2 linked regions of the Saccharomyces cerevisiae S288C genome follow. The protein of the gene in region 2 purifies or fractionates together with the protein of the main gene of each other region. This does not show direct contact. Each region holds a gene or a part of one and is shown on either strand. Other genes may lie near its edges.

Evidence for each region.
Region 1: the proteins of TAF12 (region 2) and TAF8 purify together in Saccharomyces cerevisiae (affinity purification with mass spectrometry; 5 studies listed by BioGRID, with this or other methods). This does not show direct contact.

Annotation. Positions count from the first base shown.
Region 1 is NC_001145.3:41,679-45,435, reverse strand, and holds TAF8 (Taf8p), read left to right. Parts: upstream 1-1,860; coding exon 1,861-3,393; downstream 3,394-3,757. Other genes in the region: CTK3 (Ctk3p), read right to left, coding at 1-373; DAT1 (Dat1p), read right to left, coding at 645-1,391; VAN1 (Van1p), read left to right, coding at 3,642-3,757. UniProt on the Saccharomyces cerevisiae protein: Functions as a component of the DNA-binding general transcription factor complex TFIID. Binding of TFIID to a promoter (with or without TATA element) is the initial step in pre-initiation complex (PIC) formation.
Region 2 is NC_001136.10:744,581-748,337, forward strand, and holds the start of TAF12 (Taf12p), read left to right. Parts: upstream 1-2,157; coding exon 2,158-3,757. Other genes in the region: MKC7 (aspartyl protease), read right to left, coding at 1-1,521. UniProt on the Saccharomyces cerevisiae protein: Functions as a component of both the DNA-binding general transcription initiation factor complex TFIID and the transcription coactivator SAGA complex.

The DNA of each region.
Region 1 (3,757 bases), on a different chromosome or scaffold from region 2:
GGCAGGGCAGACAAAGCTCAAAAACCAAGTCTATGTCCATGAGTAGCACTTCGTTTAACACTTTTGTAACATTGGTATTGGAATGGCTATGCGGATATAAGTTTCTTATTATTCTAACATAGTATATCACTACGTCCAGTCTATCTAGTGGGTCCATCTTCATGGTTGTATCGAACAAACATTGGTGGAAGTCCTCGTAGTGATGTCTGTAGTTTCTCAAGTAGAACTGTATAGGGTCATTGTTCAGCTTTTGTTGCGATGACGGTGGTGTGGTGGTCGACGATGATGTGATAGAGTCTCTGGTCTTGTGCAGCGTCTTTTGCAGGTTCTTCAGGACCTGAATGAATTGTAATCTAGCTTCAAGAGAGTCCATCCTTGCTGTATACCTTTACCTGGCAGTGCTTTTGTGAGAAATTAACTACCATCTGGTATTCTTTTTCCTTTTCTTTCTAAAATTCTAGTTTTTCATGTTGTGCTTAATTAGGAAAAACAGTGAATTTGAACAGTTGCTGAAGTTGAGATCAGTCTTAAATATACATTGCTCAAAGAAGTACAAATACATATAAATATAAATATCTATGGTTTTCTCAACTAGTTATTATGTGGCATATACGAATGTTTTAGTGGTATGCTGGAAATGAATGTCATATGGTTGCGTTTTTCTCTGTAGAATCGGAATTCTTAGTGATATGTGCTGCCGGCGATGGTTGCGTCCGTGGCTGATTTGATGCTGCTGTGCTTGTGGACAGATCAAGATATGGTTTCACAATGAAAGGCCGCTGTAAGTAGTTGTAGGGCCCCATCAGGAAAGAAGATGACGGGTCTTGATTGCTCCCATTTATAGTAAAGTTCATGTTCACGTTCACGTTGCTGTTAAGGTTGTGGTTTGAATTATGATTAATGCTGTGGTCGGCGTTGTAATTTGAATTCACGTGGCCGCCAGAGTTTCCCGTTGAAGATAACAGGATCTTGTGGGTGATGAACGGCTTGGGCGGAACGACGTCCACTCTCTGTTGCTGTAGTAGTTGTTGCTGCTGCTGCTGCTGCTGTTGTTGTTGTTGATCCATGAATGACTGATGGGTATAATCCAGAGATGGAGGCAATGAAGTTGACGCCGCTGCTGCATGCGGCGGTGGTGCTGCTGATGAATTATGAGCTGAGTGAGACGACGGGCTGTGCGTCAACTCTCTCAGTGCGTCCACAGCTTCCATGTCCCTGGAACTAATAAGACGCGACTCCTGATCTTGCTGAGACCCGTCGGTCTCTTTACCCCCAGTATCTTGCCTCCTCCTCCTACCACTGCCAGGCTTTCTTCCCTCTCTCAACGTCTTCCCTTTTCCGGGCTTTCTGCCGCTTCCAGGTTTCCTTCCTTGTGCCAAAGTTTTCGCCATCACCCAATGTCCTGCTCCAATATACTTTAGGACAGTTTGTAGATTCACAAGGTGATCTGTTCAAAAACTCCACTGACAATAATAGAAATTTTTTTTTTTTCATTTTCTTTCAAAACTCATCACCAAAAAAAAAAAATTGATGCATTAGCATCGGCTTCATAAACGAAAAAAAAAAAAAGAAGTTGAAAAGAAAACATGATATAAATAGTTGCAAACTAAAGTAAGATAACTGAAGATGATTAGTCCTGTTTGCATACATAGTTCTGTTCTTGTTCTACGCTGATGCGATCAATAAAGTCGCTTGAAACGCGACTGGTAGAAGCCAGCTTAAGCACAAATGGTGTATATGGGAGTGTTACCCGATGCTTTTATGTAGAAAATCTTGAACTCTTTAAAAAAGAGAGTAAAAGCAATGGAGAGAGAGGCAAGCAAGCAAACAAACGTGTAATTGAGGGACTCATAAAGGGCAATGACTTCCAAAACGTCAGAAAGTGGTACCGGTACCCAAAGTACCATAGTTCAGCTGAGGAACCTACCGGATTTGACGGAAATTAGTCACTTGGAAATAGATGCTCCCGTAGTTGAAATTCTAAAGAAAACAGTACTTTTCCAGTTGAATTCGTTGAACATCTGCATTTCAAACTTTGCATTGGATGAGCTGGTCAACCTCGTGACCGTCCAAATGGACGGCATGTTTCGGAACCTGCACAATTTAACACTTTTACAAAGAAGGTCGCAAGCTTCTCAAGCAGATTTGAAATTGTTGCTTCGAGAGTTTAACCTGGATGCGCCCTCCCTTTATCAGCAGTTTCAGGCCTCAGAATTCATCAAATCGAAGCATTCCACGGAATATGAAAAATTGATGAGCTGGTCGTCTCTTGCTGCTTTACCGCATAACGAAGAAGATGAAGAGGACGAATTGAATAATATCGAGGAGCAACAGAACGAGATCAACGTTTTGCTGCCTCCCTCTAACCCACTGGAAAAACAGATACCGAGTTGGCTGCCCAACTTTCCGCCTGACCATACCTATAAGTTTACACCTGAGTTCAACCATCCAATTACTGATCTAAAAACCATCAAGAAAGAAATAGTAAAAGAAAGCCAAGAGTCTGAAAAGGCACTATTGAACTTGAACAAAAGTCTCTCCCACATATCATCAGCGTCAAATACCCCGCAACCGCCGGGTTTAGACGATGAGGACGCTATCGAGCAACAATTGGAGATTTGGGGCAACGCGCTGGAAGAAAGGAAACCAACCATAACTGAAAAGTCCTTCAATGAAAACAATATCGAGCAGTATGCGAAGTATAGAGTGGAATTGGCGAGAGAACGTGTCACGAAATTTGAAGTGAATCAGTTGAAAAGAACAAAAAATCCATTCTTGAAAATTTCTGAAACTCTCTACCTTCCAGAGAGTCCTCACCAGTCTCACAAAACCATACAAAAAACCATAGAATTGCAATTTCGTAAGTCTATGACACTATTCATGCACAATTTACCTAAGGTCCAGAAGTTGAAGAAGGAAAAAATACGAATGGCCAAGGAAGAAAGAGCAAAATCGCTAAAACGTCGGCAAGAAGAGCTTATTTCACAACGAACAAAGAGGGAACAAGATGAAGGCCATGATCTTGAGCTTCTACTAAATAACGAGCACGCAAGGGACGCTGCAGACGACACGACCACCCCTAATGCATTAAACAACTCTACCATAGTTATCAACACAAACGCCGAGGATGAGGACGATGACATAAACTTATTTGGCATCTTAGGGAGCAGTGAAGATGAGAATGAAATGTCGAGTATGCCTGCGGAGAACCTGGTCGCGGAATCGGAACCGCCAACAATGACAGCGCAAGATACTACAAATACTACACCTGTAGCACATAACACAACCAATATCGATGCTACTACAAGTCACTCTCCTCATTCGACGCCTAATGAAAACGCCCCGACATCTCCTCCTGCAGATATAGCCACAGATCACGATATAACTATGTAAACAACTGCTTTCAGTGAACCAGTGTTTGTCCCTAATATAATAATACGTATTCAATTTATCTCCGGAGAGGAATTTTTTTTTTTTTTTTTTTTCGTTCTTCGGCGACTATACCGAAACAAGGCTTGAAATATTTAGAATCAAAGAAAGTTTACGTCTTGTAAATTAGTAAATGGTAACGTGAAAGAAGTAGACGTAAGGGTGCAGTAACAGTCATTTGAGCTTGTTGACCTACCAATTAACACAAAAAAATGGGCATGTTTTTTAATTTAAGGTCAAATATAAAGAAGAAAGCCATGGACAATGGACTAAGCCTGCCCATTTCAAGGAACGGTAGCTCGAACAACATCAAGGACAAACGCTCAGA
Region 2 (3,757 bases):
GGAGACAATACTTTCATATGTAGACCAAGTGCTTGAGTAACCAGGTGCTTTAAGAGCACTTGGAACCGCGCTCTCTATAATCTCAATGTATTCACCGTCGTCGCTGAAGTTAGCCTGAGCCATTGATATCTCCATATTGTCCAGATCATATACCACGTAAGTATTAGCTAAGAAGTTATCACCCAAAATAATGGTCGGATCTGACTGCGGTGCAATACCTAGTATACAAATGTTTGAACGACTATCTGTGACTAGCTGAAAATCGCTTAACCAATTAGAAAGATAGAATCCACCAAAATCAAAGATGATGCTACTCTCTTCTTCCATCTCTTTGATACAATCCATTATGTAGTAACCATATGCAGAAGAGTAAGTAGCTCCGACCTGGTCGGCAAGCATTTTTACCAGCTCAGTTGGCATATACGATATGGTCGTACCTGAATCTAGCAGGACTGGGATCTTTGTAGTGGTTAGGGTTGTCAGATTGTCTTCTTTATCCCCTTTCGACGTACCTAATCCTTGTAAAGTGACTTGGAATTGAATTGGATCCTTGTAGCCGCGATGCTGCAAAGTATTAATGATGGGAATTGTGTATAGGTCGCCCGCATATTTTCCATGATCCACAGCGCCAAACAAAATGGTACCATGTTTCGAATCAGAATCATTTGCGAATAAAGAATAAGCTGTTGATTTTATTACACCCGAATTCTTTAGCACCATCGGAAAGTTATTGTAAGTGTAGCTTTTTTGTACAGAGCTGAGAGAAACACCAGAATAAGTTGACTCCAAGCCAGGCAAACCAATACCCAAGACACCAACTGTTGAGTTTGTTTCGTTTGCTACAGCAAATGATAAACCCGTAATGTTCAAATCGTTCAAGCTCAATTGATCATGGCCCCAGGTACCAGATGCAAAAGTCGTATCACCATAGGCGATCGAAAATTCTGTATTATTGGAGTTGAATGTAGACGACTTAGAGGTATTAAATGTCCCGTATGTAGCGCAGTCAATTAACTGTGATGTAGAAGCTGTACTATCAAAAGTAGCAGTGGCTTCGCTGGTAACTATAGTGGTGTCGTAGCTAATTTCAGTAAACACACTCTCAACCACGCTAGCCAAAGCATCCTTGTTTACTTGTTTAAAGGATGAGCCAGTGGTATCCTTCTTTTTAGTGGAACAGTATGGGTTGTCTGAACCCGTGACCCATAGATCAGAAGAACCAGTGTCGACAAGCACAGTAACTTTTTGAGGAGGGGTGCCAATATCTAATTCCACCGAATAAAAACTGTTTTGATTAGTCAGTTCCACCAGCTCGTAATCATCATCTCTTGTCATCAAACGCGTTCTACCTTTTGTATCATCCAAAGCGTTTTCAAATGAACTGCCGTATTTCTTCTGAAAATTCATTTTGACATAGACTTCATTACTTGGTAAGGATGGAAAATCTGTAACACCGGCATCTACTATTGAGCTGCAGACAAGTAATGCATCTACGACAAATGTGAGGACAGATAATTTCATAGAGCTCTTTCTTTTTCGTTTATTTTTGACGTATTTGCTCAAGCGAATAACGACAAAAGCTTGTTCTCTCGTTGATACTTTTAGCCAATTACAATTTCTTAGCAAGAACGAGTGACGCCAACCAAATTTCTCCCAAAAGTGATTATCTGAATAATGAAAGATGGTAGGAAATAAGGTATTGAAACAGGTTCAAAACTTTAAAAGAAAACTGCCAAATAAACTTTCTCGATGCGTAGCTGAAATTTCAACTTCAAAAAAAAAAAAACGCGTGTAACTTTCTACGTGCAAAACGATGTGTATGAATCCCGTCTTAATTAGTAAATAGGGTCTAGTAAGCGTAGCGAGGATGAATTAAATGCATTGTTGAATATGAAGAGCACCTTATGGTATATAAATGTACAATCTTGATTCATGACAGCTTTGCAAGTAAACGTATCAAATGAATATCACGATTTTGGCTGTATTACCCGGGCAGTATACGCGGCGAATTTTGTTAAAAAATGTGTTAGACTTAAGTCGGAGCAAATGAATAATGGGCATATATAGCGCATAGGTTCGCTAGTGTAAGACAGGAGACTGTCCAATAGCATTCGAATCATAACCGAATCTTTGCCAGTGTGTGTATAAAATACGACAATGTCTTCCAATCCAGAAAATTCTGGTGTTAATGCGAATAATAATACGGGCACTGGTAACGCTGATGCGATCACAGGAGCTCAGCAAAATATGGTACTGCAACCGAGACAGTTGCAAGAAATGGCCGCTAAGTTCAGGACATTACTGACTGAAGCAAGAAATGTAGGTGAAACTACTCCTAGGGGCAAGGAATTGATGTTCCAAGCCGCAAAGATCAAACAGGTATATGATGCCCTTACACTGAATAGGAGAAGACAACAGGCTGCGCAAGCCTACAATAATACTTCAAATTCAAATTCAAGCAATCCAGCTTCTATTCCTACTGAAAATGTCCCTAATTCATCACAGCAACAACAACAACAACAACAACAGACAAGAAACAACAGTAACAAATTTAGCAATATGATAAAACAGGTTCTCACCCCGGAAGAGAACCAAGAATATGAAAAGCTATGGCAGAATTTCCAAGTCCGTCATACGAGTATAAAGGAGAAAGAGACCTACTTGAAACAAAATATTGATAGGTTAGAACAAGAAATAAATAAACAGACGGACGAAGGGCCCAAGCAGCAGCTACAAGAAAAGAAAATTGAACTGCTTAACGATTGGAAGGTGCTAAAAATTGAGTATACCAAGCTGTTCAATAATTATCAAAACAGTAAAAAAACATTCTATGTAGAGTGTGCAAGACACAATCCGGCTTTACATAAATTCTTGCAAGAAAGCACTCAACAGCAACGAGTGCAGCAACAAAGGGTACAACAACAACAACAACAACAGCAGCAGCAGCAGCAACAGCAGCAACAGCAACAGCAACAGCAACAGCAACGCCAGGGTCAAAACCAAAGAAAGATTTCTAGTTCTAATTCTACTGAAATACCCTCTGTAACCGGCCCTGATGCACTGAAATCGCAGCAGCAGCAGCAGAATACAATAACTGCCACCAATAATCCCAGGGGCAATGTTAACACTTCACAGACTGAACAATCGAAAGCTAAGGTAACCAATGTAAATGCAACGGCATCTATGTTGAATAATATAAGTTCGAGCAAATCGGCAATATTCAAACAAACAGAGCCTGCCATACCCATATCGGAAAATATATCTACCAAAACACCAGCACCGGTAGCTTATAGATCCAACAGACCTACAATAACTGGAGGTTCTGCTATGAATGCCAGTGCTTTGAATACACCAGCAACAACTAAATTACCACCCTATGAAATGGATACTCAGAGAGTTATGTCAAAGCGTAAATTAAGAGAGTTAGTGAAGACTGTCGGAATTGATGAGGGTGACGGTGAAACTGTCATTGACGGTGATGTTGAGGAATTACTATTGGATCTTGCCGACGATTTTGTTACTAATGTTACAGCTTTTTCTTGTAGATTGGCAAAACACAGAAAATCGGACAATTTGGAGGCAAGAGACATTCAGTTACATTTGGAGAGAAATTGGAATATTAGGATTCCTGGTTATTCCGCAGACGAAATAAGAAGTACAAGAAAATGGAATCCCTCTCAAAATTATAACCAGAAATTGCAGAGTATCACATCAGATAAGGTAGCAGCTGCAAAAAACAATGGAAACAATGTTGCAA